3 linked regions of the Arabidopsis thaliana genome follow. The protein of the gene in region 3 interacts with the protein of the main gene of each other region in a pairwise test. Each region holds a gene or a part of one and is shown on either strand. Other genes may lie near its edges.

Region 1 (3,756 bases), about 16 Mb from region 3:
AGTCTCTCCAGAATAGTCCTTTCATTAACCAAAATGATTTCGCGCTAAGGAGGTTATCTATGGCTCCTTTTGGAGTAAAGTGGTCCTTGTTAACTCCATTGAATAGGTACTAGATTCATAAGGATTCATTATTAACAATATATCCCAAAGTTCTTCCTACTCATGTGAATTGGTTAGAGAGCCCAATAGTCCAACAATTATCGATTTGTTGGTGCAAAACCTCATCGAGAAGACGTAGAGCTGAGATAATTACCTATTATGAAGCACCAAATTTGTTTAGTAGTCATCACCAAAACTATAATTCTAAATCTAAACCTAGAGAAATAGAAAATTTAGCGACATAAGGAGAAATTTACTAACTTGCATAGTCAAGAATGAGAAGCCATTAACACCAAACATATATATATATATATATATAAAGCATGTGTAACATAATAAAAAACCCTGAAACAAAATCAAGAGAGCGATAAAAAGAAAAGCATACTTTTGGTTCTTTTCCACCACTTCAAAGCTATAGAGATTCAAAATCGAGTTTAAAGCATAGCTATAGAAATTCATAGATTGAGAGTCAGATTTACCACAACACCAAGCCAAATTTCAATGCATAATGAGGAAGTTGGTTAAAGCGTACTTCAAAGCAATAAGGATTTAGAGAGCCGAGTTTCTTGAAAAAGCAGTATATATAAGATTTGTAACCAGCGATTTTGATCAAGTAAAGAGTTTCTTGATTTTGGTCAAGTAATGGTTCTAACATAACATATGTATAAGATCTCTAACCCGCGAGAAAAACAAATAGATCTTATGTAATTTGACTTGTTTATTCTTAATGAGGTGAATTAATTTGGACTTTGAAATTATACTTCTAATGGCATTGGTTAGTAATACTTTAGAAAAGGCAATGTGAATTTTCTAAAGGTACTTTCCTTATATTAGTATAAAGATATTTTTTTCATGAACTAAATGCATGGAGTAATAACATTTAACTATGAAATTTATTTATTTTGAATAATTATGTAGAATGTTATATATGATTTTAATTATTAATTATATTTAAATTATGTTACATTTTATTATTATAATAAAAAATATTTGGTGTAATTATACTTTCTATAATTATTAATTATATTTATTTGGTTTAATTTCGTTCAAACCGGCTGGTTAATCATTCATAAAATTTCTGTAAATGCACCAATTTTCAAAAGCTAACCATATCATTGAAAAATATTTCATAATGTTTAAAATCACAACCGTCCGTTTTACAAACTCTCGCAAGTCATACAATATCCACTGCGTTTAAACCAGTCATACCTAAAAATAGCCATTGGGTGTTACAACAAATGAAGTGAGCGGTTAAAAATTAAAACAAGCCGATTGTAAGCCACATGAAAAATCTGTGAGTTTACCAATTGTTTTGATACTGTATTAGTTTTTTCAATATAACTTTATTTGTATTGTTCTATTAAGAGATTATTAATAGTAAAAGTAATTTTATATGTTATCTAATCTCTTATATTCCTTCCTTATAACAATTTTTTTCAATTTAAAGTAACCACCTTTTTTCATTGTTATGTCATCGCATTTTCTCTAATCGCTTTTTCTATAATCTCTAAAAACATTCTTAACCGTCATAAACAACAGTCACCAATCACAACACCCGTTAATATGGGACGTTGAAGAAACGCAACAGTACACAGAATAACAAAATCAAGTTTGTCGAACGCTTTTCTGTTTCGCCGCGGTTGCGGTAGACCATTGACTTTAAACACATGATCACGCTTCAACTAAAACCGCAACAACCCAAACAAAGCACGGGTAAAAGAAACAAACACTGGACCACTTGCCTGCAACCGCAACACCCTTAGTCATAATTACAACTCTTAAAATCCCGAAACTACCCCTACTCATCTCCAATATTCTCCATACCCTACCACCACCCAAAAAACAAACCCGTATCAATCCTCGTGAACCCAATTCCTTCTTTCTGGATCTGATTCGATCTACCAGAAAAATTTCTCTCTCGCTACGTTTTTCTCATGGCATCGGATCAACGTGACACTGATTTCTCCGCTGAATCACCAGATCTAGAAGAAGACGGCGGCGGTGGCGGTGGCGGAAGAGGAGGAGGAGAAACTGAATCCGACGAAGATGTTGTTATACCCGAACCAAACGAAGCCGAAGACGACGATCACGATCCCGATCCCGATCCAGAATACGAAGATCTGAATTCTCCGTCAATGATTTCCAGAGCTCCGGCGACGAAATCATCCTCAGGAACCGTAACCGTCGCTCTTCCCGCTGGATCCGCCGTACCTGTAGCTTCAATTCCATCAGATTCCGATCAGAAATGGCACCGTATGACTGAAATCGTTCATCAGAGACCACCGATTGATGATTCACGACGTTTATTCCAGAGACTATGGACTGACGAAGACGAGATCGAGCTTCTCCGTGGCTTTCTCGATTACATCACAAACCACCGTGGTAACAGCTCTCATCCGCCTGATACGGCGCCGTTTTATGAACAGATTAAATCTAAGCTACAGTTAGAGTTTAATAAGAATCAGCTTGTGGAGAAGCTAAGGAGGTTGAAGAAGAAGTATAGGAATGTTATGAGTAAGTTTAGTTCTGGTAAAGAAGTGTTCTTTAAAAGTCCTCATGATCAAGCTACTTTTGATATCTCTAGGAAGATTTGGAATCAAACTGGGAAAATTATTGGTTTTGAAGATAATAATGTGATGGATTTAGAAGAAACTAATCATGTAAATAACGCGAATGGTAGCTCGGGTTTTAATGTCTCTGTTATCGGTAATGCGAATGTCGATGTTGATTCGGAGAATGGTTTAGAGAAGAAAGTGACGATAAGTAGAAAACGATCACGGTCTAGGATCGGGAAGATCGACGAGGATAAGCCTGTTCTTGCTCCGTGTGACGGGGTGATACCGAATGCGGTTAATCTTAACGAGAATGTGGCTGTTGGTTGTGATTTTGGTGATGGGAGGAATCTTGGAGTGTTGATTGAAGAGACGGTTAAGAATTGTGTATCGCCCATGATTAAGGAGATGATGAATAGTACGACGGGTATGATGATGGCTGCAACGGGTGGGTTTCCTGGAGGTGGTGCTCATGCTCTCGGTGTGTTGAGTCCGATGCTAATGCCGTCGATGAATTTAGGGTTTGGTGGTAAGGGAGTAGGGGACGAACGGTGGAGGAGACAACAGATTCTTGAGCTGGAAGTGTATTCGAGGAGATTAGAATTGGTTCAAGAACAGATTAGAGCCACGGTGAATGAGTTAAAGACAATGCCTAATGGAGGATGATGCATAAGGAAAGACTACAATGGGTTCTTTAAGTTATGAGAAAATGATGAAGAAAGATTATGATGGTGAGGTATAGTATTAGCAAAAGTAATAATCTTAATGAAAATTTCTGATGGTGATGAAATCTTTTTTAGGGTTTTAGTATTTTTTTTTCTTGATTGAATCTTTTTTTAATTTTGTCGATTAGGAGTGAATAACCTTTGTTCTTAGCTGATAAATTATAGTTTTTGGTAGAGTTCAAAAAAAAAAAAAAACTCTTTTGTGCTATTTATAATGTTTTTTTGTGTGATGCATATAATATGATATTATACATCTAATGATTAATGAACATTAACATGTATTCTTTTGGAGTTTGATCTATGTATTCCGAAGACGTGTCAAGTGTAGAATCTTTGGTGTTATGTCTTCTCTTCGTTACCTGTTGAAGTTATTATTATAA
Region 2 (3,756 bases), on a different chromosome or scaffold from region 3:
TGAAGCATTGGGGGTCCCTCGGCATAAAAAGATCGATGCTGCGGTGCTTAAGAAAGAGTATAGGAAGAAGGTTTCTCCTCTTTTCCAATGCTGAGTAGGTGGTTAATGAAATCTCTCTGAATGTTAATGAAGTGTGTTCAATATGTTCTAGGCAATGTTGGTTCATCCTGATAAAAATATGGGGAGTCCATTGGCAAGTGAATCATTCAAGAAACTTCAAAGTGCTTACGAGGTAGTCGAATTACTTATAATCTTGAATTTGTATATTTTGAAGTTCTTGGTATTTTGATATATAGACATGTAATGGTTGTATTATCTTTTTCAGGTTCTATCTGATTTCGTAAAGAAGAGAGATTACGATGAGCAACTACGAAAAGAAGAATCTAGGACTAGGAGTGTTTGTCAGACATCTCATGCTTCTTCGCATCAGGTTTAGTTAAAGTCTTTTAGCTTCTCTGTAATATCTTTTGGCGTGTGGTCTCATGTTCCATACATTATTCCTATTTTGATAAGCAGAGTGGTCCTGATTATCGATCAGATGAGTCAAGGCGGATACACTGTACAAAATGTGGTAATTCACACATATGGATATGTACCAATAGGACAAAAGCAAAGGCAAGATGGTGCCAGGTGATGAATCCAACCAACTCAGAAACAGTTAAAGAATATTGTTCTTGCATTTTCGTTATTTCAAACCTCTCTTACAGATAATCTAATTTGTTAAATGTAGGATTGTGGCCAATATCATCAAGCAAAAGATGGAGATGGATGGGTCGAACTCAAAGGGACATTACCCTTCGAGAGAGCACATAAGGTATAAAAAAGCTTCTTTCTCGCCTTGTCAAATGTTATAATGAATTTGGTTTTGCCTCAGTATCCTCAGCTCAATCACTTTCTTTTTCATGTCCATTAAGATTGAAATACCGCGTGCTTTTGTTTGCGCGGAGAGCAAAATATTTGACGTCTCAGAATGGGCCATTTGTCAGGTCAGTTCTCTTACCGGTTCCTCTGCGGATTACTTAAATGCGAAGATGACTTGAGATACATTAACATGTTTTGATTGGATTAAATAGGGAATGGCTTGTAGACCAAACACGCATAGACCAAGCTTTCATGTGAACATGGTTGGGTTAGAAAAGACAACACAGAGATCAAACTCAAGTAGGTTCCCATGGGATCTAGATGTGGAGATGATGGATGAGGACGAAGAAGAGTTTGAGCTATGGCTTCAACAAGCTCTTGCTTCAGGTCTCTTCTGCGAAACCTCAAAACGTAGAAAAAGCTGGAGCCCTTTCAAGTTGGGCCAGATGAAAAGCAAGAAACAGTGGCGAAGAACTTCCACTTGATTCAAATTTGATCGAAACCATAAACAAAATTTTCATATAGCTCACCACGGTGAATCCAAAGCCTTGAAGATCATAATTTTTTTAGGGGAGTCTTTCTCTGTAAATAGTATCTGTCGATTGTTCTTCCAAAAGAAAAAAAAAAGAATCTTTGGATTTTTCATTGTGGTAAACTAAAGAAGCTGTTTTTCTTTTTTCTTTTTCTGAATCAATGTGTAGATTTAAAGGTGGTTCATTTGATAAGAAGAAGCTTAAAAAAGAAATGTTAATGGTTACTAAATTTATAAAGTTTGAATTTTTAATAATTCTGTCCCTTTTAAACATGAGAAAATAAAAATTGAGAAATCGAACCCAAATTTACTAAAGTTTTCCCTCCTCTGTATGTTGCTGACGAATCAAACACGTCGACCTCCAATATTTTTTTTTTTTAATTTCCTTCAAAGCTTCGATTTTGACCTTCTGGGTTAATCACGGAAGAGTTTCCTTTTTGGGTAGCCGCCGCAATTTTTCCCGGCAGAGGAAAAAAAACCCCTAGAATCTGGGAAATTGACGACGAAGAGGGATATAGGTTTGGAAATTTTGGGTATTTAATTTGATTTTTCTTTTTCTCGTTCCATTCAGATTCAAAAACAAAAACCCTAACCCTAAAATTCGTGTTCGATTAATTTCGTTGTCTCTGTTTTGTTTTCTCTTCGTGTAAACCTTTTTTTTTCGAGTTTTGGCACTCTGAGCTATTTGAGTATTACAGATTAAGCTTCGTCCTGTCTTATTGGAGCAACATACATATATATATATATATATATAGATATCTATCATCTGTATTTATAGGCACACTTGTAAGTAGAATAGTGAGGAAGAAGGTAATATGAGTAGGCTCTCTTTCCGGCCACGGCCATTAGACATTCATAAGAAGCTTCCCATTTTAAAATCCTTTAAAGACTTTGAAGATGATGAGACTCCAACTTCTACCACTAGAAATTCTCAGTTGCTGCGTATTGCTTCCGTAGAAGTTGACAATGAGGTGAATTTCCATTTTGTTCTAACTTCGAAACATTCGACCATTTTAACCATTGTTACTATCAGGTGGCTCCAGTGCCAAGTAAGAAACCGGCTTCAGAAATACCAACACCTCAATTTGTTATTGTGGATACATATGAAAGGGATTATTCTCCGACTTTTGGTCAGCCTGCTTCTTATCTACGTGCAAGAGGAGGTACCAATTTCCTCTGATTTGGTTTTGTATTCATTGGCAATGAAGGTGGTTTCTTTGTTATGTGCAGACTATAAGTTTGTCTGTTTGTTTATGCAGCTCGGTCTGAGCTTGGAGAATTTGTGGAGTATGATCTTGACAATGAGGATGAAGACTGGCTTTATGAGTTTGATAAGGATAAGAAAGAACTTCCACCTGAAAAGTAAAGTAACCAATCCAACTATCCTTATAGCTCTTCTTCTTCGGATTTATCATCATCATCAGTATTTTTCTGTTATCTTGTAGCTGCATCATGCTGATATTTTAAACGTTGAGGCGGATTGGGTTATTCAGACTCTCTGCGTCTTTTAGTTTTGTACTGTTGCTGAATTAGTTTGCTTTATTCACTAGAAATTGGATTCTGCTAAAATTGTTAAAACCAAAACTCTTAGTGAAATAGATACCGAAAGAAGAATCGTTCCATTTGATGCACAACACAAATGTGTTAAATTGTTTGATACAGGCTTGAGATCATCATTTTTAAACTAGAGGTGTTGGATCACAAGACGCGGGAAAGAGCAGGAGTTATTACACCTACTCTCGGCTCTCCAGTTCCTGTGCTTTTGCAGTTTGATGCTGCTTCTGATGTATACCTTTACTTTTGGATTATATATCTCTTGTTATTATAACTCTACACTCATTTTAGAAGCAGTACAAAACATTTGAATGATTAGTTCTGATTCTTATTGCAGGTGCTGCAAGTACTGTCCATTAATTATGGAACCTTCCAGGCGATCTTCAACTACTGGAAAGAAAAGGTTTGAAATAAAACTTATGTGATTGTTACAAGTTTTCTGGATACAGACGTTATGTTGCATAGGTTAATGATCTTATTTTACGGGGTGAGATAAGACGGTTTAATAGATTATTTGATTCGTGAAACCTATGCATAGTTCTTGTGAATGACAAAGCAGTTCCACATATGGAGTACCTTTGGCTGATAATACTTATGCATATGTTTCGTTTTCTGTTTTTTATGTGAACTTAGCGTAAAAGATGGCAGAAGCCTATCTTACGGCGTTTACAGGTTTGTATTATTTATTTCCATTTGAAACGATCAAGGCCTATGTTGGAAAGGCATCTTACCTCGATTATTTAGTTAATGTTTTGCTTCATTGTTTGGAACAGCCTCCCCCACCGGTTAATGACACCAATCCCTATAAT
Region 3 (3,756 bases):
GTACCAACAGAAATTGCATTTTTTTCATCAGACAATCAAATTGAAACAGAACATGTATATAACAGACCCAAGAGCCAAAGTGTGCTGATACCTTTGAAAAGTATCCAACCATGTGGCATCCACGATCATCACATTCACAGAGAATATAGAACAGGAACAAATCAACGTCATAGTAAAGAGTTTTGTGGTCAAGAAATAACTTTGCCAGATAACAGAGGTTCTGTGCATAGACCTTATTCTTCTTGCCATCCACCTGTAAGATATTACAAATAAACTCCCAGGTCGTGAAAATTCAATTCTAAATACATTTATTAGCTTCCAAACAAGTATCGTAAGCCTAAAGCAAACAGTTTAAGGATGAAAACATCAATCTATTACCTCAAACATTGACAAAGTAGAGCTTCGATAGATTTCATCCCCAGGGGGGTGCTTCAAATCGCATTTCCTCTGCATAGATAAAAGACGATTGAGCAAAACTTAAGTAAAAAGAATGACCCATAAAAGGTATGTGTGAAACTAAAAATAACTGTAAAGACAAAACAATTAAAATGCTACAAATGATAAAAAAAACAGTTGCTCACCATATGTCTTTGAAGCTGCTCTTTGCGCTTCATAAAACTGAGGCAAAACTCACAGAAAAAGAGCTTCACGCAGTCATTGTATTCTGGAGGAAAAGGAGAGAAGTACCACGTCTCAATCTCATACTTCCCAAGCTCAATCGTAGCTATGTTCTTCACTTTCGTGAACTCCTCGTGTTCACGCAAACTGGCAGCATCCAGCTCTTCATGACCCTATACAAAATATCGAAAAACATCAGAATATATAGCATGCCACACAGTTCACTAAAACCACAACAAAGTTTAACTAACTTAACCAATCACTTTACCTCTACATGAGTCTCATCAATCTTCCGTTTCTGGTGTCGTGTCATCTTCAAGCTAGTCACCTATTACCACAAACAAACTTCTATGTTTCAGTGCAAACTACGGAGAGGAAAGCTCAAGACTTTGAAGAAAAATGGCTAATACCTTGTCTTCAACTTTTTCATCTAAAGCACACTCTACTGAATCAAGGTCAAGCTGTTCAAGCTTAATCCATTCATCCAATCTTCTATTAACTGCAGTTTCACAAGAGTTGTGATACTCAAAACAACTTGAATTGCAAAGCCCTCTAATTCAATTCTTCGAAATTTCAGCTCCAATCTATAAACCCTAGATTCACAAATTTCAGATAGAGAAAGGAGGAAACGACATACACTCTGTGTAATGAACGTAGTACTCGTAATCATTGTGACCACCATTATAATTCTTTCGGCGCTCGATAACCTTCACCGGATGGTATTTTCCGTCTCTCCATTGACACATCACGCGAGTACCAACCTCGAGCGGAAGCACCCCCATTCTTCTCTTCTTCGAAGCATCCGATTCTGAATTCGTGAGAGCGAGTATCGCACCAGAAGTATGATTCTGATTCGCATCTCCGCCGTTGGTTGCCGGATTATTATGGTTCGACGCCGGTGTGGCGATTATCATCGCCGTCTCTGTATCCGCAGACGATCCCATTTCTTTAGTCGGGTCGGAGATTTTTTCCGGGTGGATTCTTTTCTCATACGGATAAAGAACATCATTTGGAAGGAGTGTGGCCCAATAACAACTTTGAATGCTCAATTGGGCCTATCTTTATAATTGGCCTGTACTATATGTCTCTCTTACCGTCCTTTTTTTTTGGGTGCAAAAAATCTCTTACCGTCGTTAATACACGTTTTATAACTGTTGGCTTATGTTTAGTTTTATAATCGCCAGGTTACATTTAAAGAATGATTAGTAGGAGCAAACAATTTATAAAAACTAAAGAGATAATGAGAGATAAATAATAAGTGACAGAGTCAGTATTTTGTCGTGAATGGGAAACAGCCAAACAAGGCTTTATGATTCGTACTAATCACAAGATTCACAGATCAAAAAATCACAAAGTTCCAAGAAGCAAAGACGAAAAACACAACTCATCATCGTGTCCTTGAAGTTATGGTCATAGATTCGCACACCATGTTCCTCTAGATTAACCAAAATGATTTTTTATGAACAAAAAAGATTCACATGGTCACTTTACTGTATCTTGTATGTGAAATTTTACATCTCATTTTTCTTAAAGAATGTTTTACTTTTACATACTATCAATTTACTTTTATTTTTCGGTTATGAATTGAAGTGGATGACTTACTTACTTTTGAAATTCGAATGAAGAAAAATAGAATTGATTCCTATTTCAGTTGTTCACATGTAAACACGTTATATACTTATATGGCAACTTGACTAAAGGGAAAATTTAAATAAAATGATTTAATTTGGTGACATATATTCATCTTTCTAATTTTTGTAGCTACTACACACCGTGTATCCTTTTTCATAATAATGATGTGAAATTGTATAATTGTAAGAAAAAATGAGAAAAGAGTGACGAAATCTTTAAAACAGACAGAATTTTTTTGGTTGAGCAAACAAAACTTAGTTATCAAATTTTGGAAATAACGTGTTGAAGTGGCTGATTCTTTTACCTACAATGATTGATTCATCGACAAATATCTTGTTCGTATATCATCAATTCTAAATTCTTCAAAAATAAAGTAAAGATACTCAAATGTAATGAAATGACGAAGCTGGAAAAACGTATTTTAATTTAATTCATTATTTGACCAACAATTTGCATCATGTGAATTTAAATCTTGATAGGTCAATATTAGTATAAACTACCACACTACATGCGAAAATCATTCCTCATTTAGTGCAATTACAAATGATAAACGGAAACGTTATCATTTGTATTTATTTTGTAAAATATGTAATTCAAGAAACTGCTCAGAATATAAAGACAAGAATCCTCTTTCTTCCATCTCTATCTCTCCGTAAACAGTTGCTCAAAACCTTCTTCCTGAAATGGCTTCTTCTCTCATCTTCCTCCTCCTCGTTACCCTAACCTTTTCAGCATCAACCCTAATCTCAGCCAAATCCAACACAACAACAATAATCGAATCAACTTGCAAAACCACAAACTACTACAAATTCTGCGTCTCAGCTCTCAAATCCGACCCAAGAAGTCCCACAGCCGACACAAAAGGTCTCGCCTCCATTATGGTCGGCGTTGGTATGACAAACGCCACCTCCACCGCAAATTACATCGCTGGAAACCTATCCGCCACCGTAAAAGACACCGTTCTCAAAAAGGTCTTACAAGATTGCTCCGAGAAGTATGCTCTCGCCGCTGATTCTCTCCGGCTGACGATTCAAGATCTTGATGATGAAGCTTATGACTATGCCTCCATGCATGTGTTGGCGGCGCAGGATTATCCTAATGTTTGCCGGAATATTTTTAGGCGGGTTAAAGGGTTGGCTTATCCGGTGGAGATTCGCCGGCGTGAAGCTAGTCTGAGACGTATTTGTGGTGTTGTCTCCGGGATTCTTGATCGCCTTGTTGAATGATTTACATTTGCATTAACTACTTTCGTAAAATCTCTATTTAAATTATCGTATTTCATGAATTTAATATGACCGTTACTTTATTACTTTCGTCTTTGCTACAACTTTCAAATTGCCAAGAAGAACAATCTTTAGAGATCACCTGAATATTTGGAATTTAATATTTCTCAATCAATTGACTAATCATACCAAAAATTTTAAGTGACGAAGATTTGGGGGAAAAGGCTTCTTAAGAAATGGGAAGTACTAGAGATATTTGTATATTCGTTATATATCTTTAGGT

Evidence for each region.
Region 1: the proteins of HAM1 (region 3) and AT5G28040 interact in a two-hybrid assay, tested with the Arabidopsis thaliana proteins (one large-scale study listed by BioGRID).
Region 2: the proteins of HAM1 (region 3) and AT1G79020 interact in a two-hybrid assay, tested with the Arabidopsis thaliana proteins (one large-scale study listed by BioGRID).

The regions. Positions count from the first base shown.
Region 1 is NC_003076.8:10,037,215-10,040,970, reverse strand, and holds the start of AT5G28040 (DNA-binding storekeeper protein-related transcriptional regulator), read left to right. Parts: upstream 1-1,969; 5' UTR 1,970-2,033; coding exon 2,034-3,317; 3' UTR 3,318-3,387; exon of another isoform or gene 3,388-3,756.
Region 2 is NC_003070.9:29,728,512-29,732,267, reverse strand, and holds the start of AT1G79020 (Enhancer of polycomb-like transcription factor protein), read left to right. Parts: upstream 1-1,674; 5' UTR 1,675-2,208; coding exon 2,209-2,364; intron 2,365-2,426; coding exon 2,427-2,556; intron 2,557-2,652; coding exon 2,653-2,755; intron 2,756-3,055; coding exon 3,056-3,179; intron 3,180-3,284; coding exon 3,285-3,350; intron 3,351-3,580; coding exon 3,581-3,619; intron 3,620-3,720; coding exon 3,721-3,756. Other genes in the region: AT1G79030 (Chaperone DnaJ-domain superfamily protein), read left to right, coding at 1-70, 152-232, 326-430, 517-630, 731-814, 915-986, 1,074-1,346.
Region 3 is NC_003076.8:25,828,942-25,832,697, forward strand, and holds the start of HAM1 (histone acetyltransferase of the MYST family 1), read right to left. Parts: upstream 1,729-3,756; 5' UTR 1,563-1,728; coding exon 1,256-1,562; intron 1,118-1,255; coding exon 1,029-1,117; intron 947-1,028; coding exon 887-946; intron 792-886; coding exon 582-791; intron 448-581; coding exon 379-447; intron 254-378; coding exon 92-253; intron 1-91. Other genes in the region: C/VIF2 (cell wall / vacuolar inhibitor of fructosidase 2), read left to right, coding at 2,934-3,476. UniProt on the Arabidopsis thaliana protein: Histone acetyltransferase which may be involved in transcriptional activation. Acetylates 'Lys-5' of histone H4 (H4K5ac). Essential for gametophyte development. Involved in DNA repair after UV-B exposure.